2 linked regions of the Arabidopsis thaliana genome follow. The protein of the gene in region 1 interacts with the protein of each later gene in a pairwise test. Each region holds a gene or a part of one and is shown on either strand. Other genes may lie near its edges. The genes, in order: AT5G60980 and CSP3.

What was found.
Region 2: the proteins of AT5G60980 (region 1) and CSP3 interact in a two-hybrid assay, tested with the Arabidopsis thaliana proteins (one study listed by BioGRID).

The regions. Positions count from the first base shown.
Region 1 is NC_003076.8:24,541,125-24,546,864, forward strand, and holds AT5G60980 (Nuclear transport factor 2 (NTF2) family protein with RNA binding (RRM-RBD-RNP motifs) domain-containing protein), read left to right. Parts: upstream 1-2,011; 5' UTR 2,012-2,355; exon of another isoform or gene 2,356-2,863; coding exon 2,864-3,043; intron 3,044-3,133; coding exon 3,134-3,431; intron 3,432-3,531; coding exon 3,532-3,752; intron 3,753-3,852; coding exon 3,853-4,021; intron 4,022-4,106; coding exon 4,107-4,228; intron 4,229-4,304; coding exon 4,305-4,370; intron 4,371-4,480; coding exon 4,481-4,544; intron 4,545-4,640; coding exon 4,641-4,903; 3' UTR 4,904-5,228; downstream 5,229-5,740. Other genes in the region: AT5G60990 (DEA(D/H)-box RNA helicase family protein), read right to left, coding at 5,477-5,620, 5,721-5,740. UniProt on the Arabidopsis thaliana protein: Involved in RNA-directed DNA methylation (RdDM).
Region 2 is NC_003071.7:7,762,840-7,767,029, reverse strand, and holds CSP3 (cold shock domain protein 3), read left to right. Parts: upstream 1-1,753; 5' UTR 1,754-1,848; coding exon 1,849-2,754; 3' UTR 2,755-3,502; downstream 3,503-4,190. Other genes in the region: AT2G17860 (Pathogenesis-related thaumatin superfamily protein), read left to right, coding at 4,012-4,190.

The sequences.
Region 1 (5,740 bases):
AAAGGATGAGAAAATGCAGTAAGAAAGTTACTGTAGAGTAGTGAAGTGCCTTTAATGTCTGGGGGAGCAATAAACAAAGGAGACAATTCACAAAATAAATTATTATTTCAGATAATGGTTTTTTTTTTCGAGCTTGGACCTAGAAAAGTAAATCAATCCCATGACTCAAAAACTGTGTATACTCCATGTATTGAACTTACAAATGCTGTGAAACATTTATGCAGTATAAATGTATAATGGTTGTGACTGGCTTTTTAGTATCAGAAAACATTTATAGAAAACATGTGAGTTCATAATTTAAAAAACATTGAGCTAGCTAGTGTGTGAAGAAGAACTCAGAGAGAAGGAGATGAACAAAACAGCTAGTCAGAGTCAGCTATCTCCAAATTAATCATGATTTATATTCACAAGTTTTTCTATTTTTCTAATTTTACATCAATACCTTAATTCTATATATGTGTAAAAATATTCAGCAAAGTAATTAAAGGGACAATATGATTTTTAGGGTTTTATGGATCAATAAAATAAGAAAATTTGTCTTGATTGACCTGAAATAAGAATTCCTCAACCCATTGGATAAACTTTAAAAAGTCAAGATTTCTCAAATAGATCCAATTAGTTTTACTGACTTATTGAACATTATTAATGTACTGATTAAGAAGTAGTTCCCGCACTAAAGTATAGGCTATATGCAATACTAAGACTGATAAATTGGTAGACAAAAAAGGTAAACAAAAAATGCAACAAATTGTCACCTTAACACAATTTTGTACTAAGCTTTTACTTTTACGACTCTCCGTCACACGCGTTCTCATTCTCTTGAAGTTGGACCTCTTCTACGGGTTTTCTAGTTAAGCCATCTCTTCTTCTTCAACATCAGAACTACATTTTCCGGATTCAAAGTGTTTATTTCAATCGGCGGCGTTGAATATACGAGATGGTACGTTGTCTCCGGATGTAAGAGAGCCTTTTTTAAACGAGTTAAGAGGAATGAATATAATCAAATCAAACTGAAGGATTAATAATTGGTTAAATTATGAGCTATTCCGGTTTGGTTAAGTCCCACCGTTATATTCATCTCCTCTGAATTAATCAAATAGTCAATTATTCTAATTACTGTTGATTGTCTCATTAACTTGGAATAGAGGAGGTTTGGACTCTATTTCAGTTTTAAAAAACTGCTAATTAAACCAGATTAAAAAACGAAACTACTAATTAAATACAGTAAAATTTCGAAGACGTTTCAATACACAATTAATACCATAGCTCAATTTCTTCCCCTATAAAAACAGCCAAGGATCTTACTATTATTCATCATTCAAAGACAAACTCGAGAAAAATAAACTTTGAAACTTTTTTTTTTGTGTTTTCATCATGGCTATCAAAAACTTGATTTTTATTATAGCGGTTATGTGCGTTTTTGTCTCCGTAAATGCTCAACTACCACAATTTCCTTTTCCATTTTCATTCTAACCGATTTCTGGTATGCCAGGATTACCTGATATTACAAAATGTTTGTCATCCGTGATGGATATTCCGGGATGCATTGCAGAGATTTCTCAATCTATTTTCACAAGAAAATTTGGTAACTTAGGTCCGGCTTGTTGCAAAGCATTTTTGGATGTCGAATCCAATTGCATGCCAAAAATTCCATTCATTCCGTTATTTCCGCCGATGCTAAAAGAACAATGTTCAAGAATTGCCGGTGCTACTCCTCCTACACCAAAATAGAGTCTTAGTTTATTTTTAAAACATATAAAATATGAATTTTTTGTCTTTTCAACTTCTTTCTTAAATTTTATAATTCTCAGATTACTCAACATGTTTTACTTAAAAAAAAACGATGATACATTAATAACATTTGAGAAGTCGTATTTGTGTTTAATTTTTAGTCGTTCTTTATTTCTAATGAATAATACCTTCAAACATCGAGTAGATAATTAATTTAATATTGCAATATTTCAGAATTTGTTGTTTTCATAAATCTTTTAGATACGTCGTATAGTAACACAAAATCTGTCAACGGTTTATAACTTTTTATATACGACCCAAAACCATTCTCAAGATCAACACAAGTAAATCCTATTTTTGTAAGTTTCTAATAAGGAAATGAACAAGAAAGACCCAATAATTCAAGAATGATGAAGCCCAAAGTATGAGTCTTCTTGCTTCTTGGGCCGAACCGAACTGAACTGAACTGAACTGAACTAAAGCTAAACTAAAACTAAAGTTGGTACGGTTCCTTCTCTTCTCTCTCTCTCTTTCTCCGTCTGTCGCTGTCTCTCTCGTCCTCTCCTCTGTTTCGTAGCTTCTGCAGCAGATCTCTCTTTGTCCTTCTCTCTCCCTCAGATCACTGTAAGTACACGACACTTCACTTCATTTCCTAATTCGATCTGTTTCTTTTACTCTTTCTCGATTTGCTTCCAATCTTGATCTCTTTTCTCTTTCTATATCGAGCTTGATCTGACTCATTCTTTATTATATACTTCTCTTCTCGATTCCTTTTTTGTGAAAAAAACATCTTTAAAATTTCATTTTTGTTAGTTGCTTCGTGTCTTGATTAGTGTTGTTCTTGTAATAAATGTTGTGATCTTATATTCATTCTAGGGTTTTGTGTGTGTGTGTATGAGCTTAATTTCATACAGAACAGTGAAATCTTAGACTTTCGATTAGATCGTTGACTTTTATCTGAATTATTGGAATTTAGGTTATTGAATCAGTCTTTAGGTTATTGATCAAAATGATTTACTTCAGAGAAGATTGTCTCAATAATTACTAACACAGTGGTTGATTATTGATAATGTTATTAATCCTGAGCTATGTAAATTTTGATTCTCACCGTATATATATATATTGAGTGTAGATGGCACAGCAGGAAGCTAGTCCTTCCCCTGGTGCTGAGGTTGTTGGTCGTGCCTTTGTGGAGCAATACTATCATATTCTTCACCAATCTCCCGGTTTAGTTCATCGGTTTTATCAAGATTCGAGCTTTTTAACCCGACCTGATGTTACCGGTGCTGTGACTACTGTCACAACTATGCAAGTGAGATTATCATTAAGTCTATTACTTTAACAAGATTGCTATGATGTTCTCTTTTGATTTATATTAACTTGGTTTCGCTATGGATTTCAGGCGATCAACGACAAGATTCTGTCGTTGAAATATGAAGACTACACGGCTGAGATAGAAACTGCTGATGCTCAGGAGTCTCATGAGAGAGGTGTTATTGTGCTGGTTACAGGACGCTTAACCGGGAACGATAATGTTAGGAAGAAGTTTAGTCAATCTTTTTTCTTGGCTCCACAAGACAAAGGATACTTTGTCTTAAACGACGTGTTTCGATTCCTTGAGGAGAAAGAGGTGACTGCACAAGCCCGCTCTGTCCCCATCAATGGAACCACTAGGGATGTTCAGGCTCCTATTGAACCAGGTAGGATGAAAGTTCCATGTTTTTTTTTTTTTGTTTCCTACCACACATAGCACTTATTTATTTCAAGTTAGAATATTAACATCGGCTTACTTCTTGTCAGAACGTGTTGTTGTTAGTCACGAGCCCGAGGTAGAACCCGAGCCAGTTGCTTCTATCGAGGAAGAAGATCTTGACAATGTGGCGGAAGTGTATGATCCTTCTGATAAAGATGAAGGAGTTGTTGTTGACGTTGAGCCTATTGAACCTCCCACTCAAATAAGTCATAATGAAATCTTATCAGTGCCTCAAGGAGATGCTCCTAAGCATTCTTATGCTTCAATCGTGAGTTGAAACCGCTCACTAACTTAATTCTTTTGTTGTTTCTCAAGATTGTTTTTCTGTTGTTAGTAAAACTTATGAAGTCATTTGTGTGCCTCAACAGCTCAAGCAGATGAAAAGCAGTCCAGCACCAACAACACACGTTGCTAGAAACAAGCCAAGACCAGCTCCAGTCAACCAGAAGCTGACCGCGCCTCCTGCTGAGCCTGCAGCAAGACCCGAGGCTTCAGCTCATGAGAATGTTCCGAATAGTAGCCATGTTGATGTGGAAGGTCTGTAAATTCTTTTCATTTTGCTGTTTGAATACGCGCATTTCCCTTGGTTATTGATTTTTGTTTTGTCTATTTGTTGTTACAGATGATGGTCATTCGATTTATGTTCGAAATTTGCCGTTTGACTCCACACCAACACAACTTGAAGAGGTGTTCAAGAACTTTGGTGCAATCAAGCATGAGGGGATTCAAGTCAGAAGCAACAAGGTTTGATATATAAATCTACAATCTCCTCCAAAAACCCTTTGCTTATTGGTCCCTTACACGTATTTGTGACTCGCAGCAGCAAGGTTTCTGTTTTGGTTTTGTGGAATTTGAAACATCTAGCGGAAAGCAAAGTGCCCTCGAGGTAAAACCATATATAGCCTTGAAAATTCTCCTAAGTCTTTTCGAGCTCAGGTGTCTGGTATATGTTTCGGTTGAATTAGAAAGTCTGACTCTTTGTGTTGGTACATGTAGGCCTCACCAGTTACAATTGGAGATCGTCAAGCTGTTGTAGAGGAGAAGAAAACAAATAGTCGAGGTAACAAACATGAGAGACCTCATCAAGAATCAAGAAAAAGATGGTTGATGAAGAGTTTTTGTGTATTTAAGATGTGGCTAATCTTTTTTTTTGCAGGAGGAGGCAACAATGGAGGTAGCAGGGGAAGGTACTTTTCCGGAAGAGGAAGTTTCCGAAATGAAAGCTTCAAAGGAGGACGCGGTGGTGGGGGAAGAGGAGGCTATGGAAGAGGAGGAGGTGAGTTTTCTGGTAGACCAAAGAGCTCAAACCCACGAAATGGAGGAGAAGGTTACCAAAGGGTTCCTCAAAACGGAGGAGGTGGAAGAGGAGGCCGCGGAGAAGGAGGTCGTGGTGGAGCTCGAGGTGGTGGTTCATCTTGACTTTGCTTTTAACGCTCCTCTACAAGAGAGTAGTTTTAATTTTTGTTTTGCGTCTTTCTTTTTGCCTACTACTTGAGTTGATGTGGTATTGGCTTTTTTGTCGGTCTAGTTTTTCAATATTCTTGCTTTTTTTCCTCTCTTTTTTGTTTTTCATCTTTCAATCTTTCTTTGGGGTAATGTACTCTTCATAAACAAACATTCAATTTCATAAGGAATCCATTATAGAGTTGTGTTCTTTACGCAGAGATGTTCTTACTCTTCGTTTTGAAGTTAAAGTGAGCAGAAGTGAACATGACCAGTTTATCTAATTCGTTGAATGCATTAGGGAACTCGAAAGCATAGAACTGTAAATTAGAGATAAAACAAAGAGCTGCAGGAGCCACCAAGAACAGACACCAGAGCTTTTAAACATCTTTCAACTTAAATTGTATAATCTGTCATTGAGAAACAAAGCAAAAAGAAAAGAACATACAAATTACGAGTACAAAATGGATTAAATTTCCCTAGTTCATATGGAAAACTTCAATTCAAAACTTTGGTGAGTTATCGGAAAACAGTAAAAACAGAGCTATTTTATCGTTTGAACTTCTTAGAAGACTTCTTGTCTTTGTTACCACCTCTTTCCTTGTTGCCTCTGTCCTTGTTACCTCCCAAGAACCTCTCACTTTCTTCATCATCTTCTCCCCTTCTCTTCCTACCTCCTGATTCTTTCATATTCTAAACAAAAATTGCCAGAAAACATATTTCAGTTCTCTATAAATCAAAGTTATACGCAAAAACGAATAAACCTAGAACTACAAATGCAGAGTAAAAATACCATTGCAGATAGCTTTTTCG
Region 2 (4,190 bases), on another chromosome or scaffold:
TCCATAAGTAGTAAGTAGTCTGTATTTAGTATTTACCATCTAATAAAGAAAATAAAAATTTATGTATAACTTAAAGTGTTCCAACTTAGCAATCAATAGTATGTAGCCTTGGAGAAACAGATTTTTTTTGTTACAGGTAAGATTTACATACTGAAATCATATAGCATTCTTAGAAAATTTTAGTTGTATTATGTTGTAGTCACCTAATTTAAAAAGCTGGGAGTGTTTTTTTTCTAGTCGCACAATCAGCCGACATCGACAATAAAAGAAAAGAAGATCTATGTCAAATAGTAACAAAAATACATAAATACATATATATGTAAAGATTTTAATACTGTTGCGGTGCGGTTTTGGGTGTGGTCTATGTTACCATTCATGGTCTTAGTCTATCGAAAGTTCGATAACGTTGTTTGCCTTGGTGGCAGTGAATTTTTTCCTGTCACGCGACTGTGAAAAGAGTAATTTTTAGAGACGTTACAATCGCATATCGTGAATTCCGATGTATGTGATATGTGTATGTGGAGGGTTACTGAGAGTTTTTTCTATGGGCGTTATAAACATTTTTAGTTTGAACGTTGTGCAATCAACTAGGTATGCATGCATGGGTTAATTTTATGATTCTAATTTTTTTGGGTAAAAGTTATATAAATAACGGTATTTCAAAGAGTTAACATTGGGTCAAATTTCTTGCTCAGAATTTCAGAGTTATACTAACATGACGTTTATGATGATAATAATTATAGTCAATTTAAATTGCCTTCACCAGGGCCACCAAAATAGCTAAGCAAATACGACAGACAAGGTTCTTTTCTTCTCGTCATCATAATCCATGTGTCACTCTTGTTTCAACATGCCATGTTCTGGAACATTTGCATCTCACGAATCTTTCATAATATTTACAAAAAAAAACTCATATTCTTTTCACATATATATAACTATTTTAAATGTGAACAAAAAAAAAGTAATTATAAATTCACTATTGTCATTAAAAGAAAAATAAATAAAAAAAGGAACTCTTGTCATTTTCTTAAGTATAGCATTGTCATGACAAAAGCTATGCTGTCCATAAACAATGGGAAGCAGAAGATTGTTGATGTTCGACACCATACATTATCAAAATATATAATATATATATATATATAATAGACGATAGATATCCAATAATTAGTTTAAGTAATTGGGATGTTCTTTTTTTCTTGCTTCTAGAAGAAAATATGATCGAATCATTTTTTTCTTCACAATTGAACTTCGGATAATATCATCCATGTATTGGTTCATTGAATTAAAAAAGTGAGCTGGGATATTGAAAATTTGGATGCAAAATAAGTTGCATAAAAATAGATATAATATCAAAATATAATATATTGTTTAGATAAAACAACCAAAAGTGTGAAACACTTTCTCTTCTAGTAGAAGTATAACATAATAATCTAAATCATGTCATATTTACTTTAGATTTACTATGAATATCCCTTTCTTTTTGCAAAAAGTGATAATTATAGACTGCATTTTCATCCAATTCCCAGAGTTTGGGGATGGTTAAGAGATGATAAAACATCTCAAGCATTTTTTTTAAAGTTAGTGTGAAATCAAACCTTATCAATTTTGCTTAGTTCTTTTGAAACTCTTACATAAATAGGCCCATTTCATTATGTGAACCATGGGCCTGATCCAAAATGCACACGTGGTAACTGCCGCCGATAGAGAAGGAGCTGACGTGGCGAATTTAAGGTCAATTTGGGGTTAATAGATCTAGCAAGTAGCAATTTAGGGTTTTCATTTTACCCATTTCCTCTCTTTGTACGAACAAAGTGCTTCGAGTTTTTGTTAACCTTTTTCTCTGATCTAATGGCGATGGAAGATCAATCGGCGGCGAGATCTATCGGAAAAGTTAGTTGGTTTAGCGATGGAAAAGGCTACGGTTTCATTACTCCCGATGATGGCGGCGAAGAGCTTTTTGTTCATCAATCCTCAATTGTCTCCGATGGATTCCGTAGCTTGACTCTTGGTGAATCGGTTGAATACGAAATCGCGCTTGGAAGCGACGGAAAGACTAAGGCCATTGAAGTTACTGCTCCCGGCGGCGGTTCACTTAATAAGAAGGAAAACAGCTCCCGTGGATCCGGAGGTAATTGTTTTAATTGCGGTGAGGTTGGTCATATGGCTAAGGATTGTGACGGTGGAAGTGGTGGGAAAAGCTTTGGAGGTGGTGGTGGTCGTAGATCTGGCGGCGAAGGTGAATGTTACATGTGTGGTGATGTGGGACACTTCGCTAGGGATTGTAGGCAAAGCGGTGGTGGAAACAGCGGCGGAGGAGGAGGAGGTGGTCGTCCGTGTTACAGTTGCGGTGAGGTTGGTCATTTGGCAAAGGATTGTCGTGGTGGTTCTGGTGGAAACAGATACGGAGGAGGTGGTGGTCGTGGATCTGGCGGTGATGGATGCTACATGTGTGGTGGTGTGGGACATTTCGCTAGGGATTGTAGGCAAAACGGCGGTGGAAACGTTGGAGGTGGTGGAAGCACTTGTTATACCTGTGGCGGAGTTGGCCACATTGCGAAAGTTTGCACCAGCAAGATACCTTCTGGTGGTGGTGGTGGTGGTCGTGCTTGTTACGAATGTGGAGGAACTGGCCATTTGGCTCGTGACTGTGATCGGAGAGGAAGTGGAAGCAGCGGAGGTGGCGGTGGCAGTAACAAGTGCTTCATCTGCGGCAAGGAAGGTCACTTTGCGAGGGAATGTACTTCGGTTGCTTAACAAAAAGATGCAAAGAAGAAGAGTAATGTTCATAAACCTCTTTTGTTTTCTATTAAAATCTACCTAATGCTCCTTTTTGGTGACTATAATGTGATTGCTAAAGTCGTTTAGGATGTTTAAGAATGGTTGTTTTGGGAGTTTTTGATCTCTCTATATTACTCTTTTGACTGGTTTATGCAACCTGTTCACTGCTTTTGTTGATGCCATAAGTTTGAGATCTTGAATGATATGTGTGCTTGCTTATTTACAGTTTCTTGTCTTTCCTTGCAATGAGTGTGATTGTATGACTTGAAAATTCAATCTGTTATGGTCACTTCTGTTATATACCAAGATTTGAGACTTTTTTTTACTAACTTGTAAATACAAAGAGATGAGTCACAAGTCTTTCTTGGTTCCTCTTTGTTGGAGAGCTTAAAGATTTTCCTGTAACTGGTTTACTTATACTCTGCATTGCTGTTTTTCTTGTTCTTGATGAAACAGAGATATTAGCTTAAGAATAATCTTTTGATATTTTAGATTACTTAGATCTTGTTTTAGGAGAATCTCCTGAACAGAGGAGAGACATGGTGTGCGTGATCTTGTAGTGCCTATGCCTGTTCGTCAGTTCGTGGTTTCTTTTTCTCTACTTACCGTGATGTTTTAAGAAGATGATGAAGTTAATCCCGTTAGTTTTTTTTAACCTAATTACACTTGTGATTAGCTGAATCTTTCGGATATAAACATTTGGATCCCACGTGTTCTGTTATTGGAAGTGACTTGATCTTTCTTAACATATACAAAGACAAGCTTCTAATGTCCAACACCTCCTTTATTTCCGTTAATACAAAATCCCACCAATTCCAGTACAATTAACTTACTACACAACACCATACATGTCTCTTTCCTATCAAAGTCTTTAAACTAAATAACTTTTTCCTTAACAAACAAAAGAGAGCTTTTTCCTCCTCTAACCTTTATCTAAATTTCTAGTTTTGAATTTAGGAAGAGATCCTCAACAAATAGTTATAAAAAAAAAATGTATAATTTTCGAAAAGGATAACAAGTATACTAGCTTGATTCGTAATTTCCATTTCACAAGTATTAATGAGAATATTGAAATAAAGGAAATGATGAGTGAACATGTATCGGATTCTGTAATGGCAAAACTCATATAGGGAAAATTGATATTATGAAACTTTCCATAACACAAATCCCCGATTCTCTTATATAAACACGATCCCTAACTTCTCCTGAATCATACAACATCAAACGGTAACAATGGATTTGGCTAAAGTCTCTTGCTTTCTCTTAGCGATTATGTTTTTCATCAATGGTGGTTCCTCCACCACGTTCACCATCGTTAACCAGTGTAACTACACCGTCTGGCCGGGACTTCTCTCCGGCGCCGGCACCGCTCCATTACCCACCACTGGTTTCTCCCTCAACTCCTTTGAGTC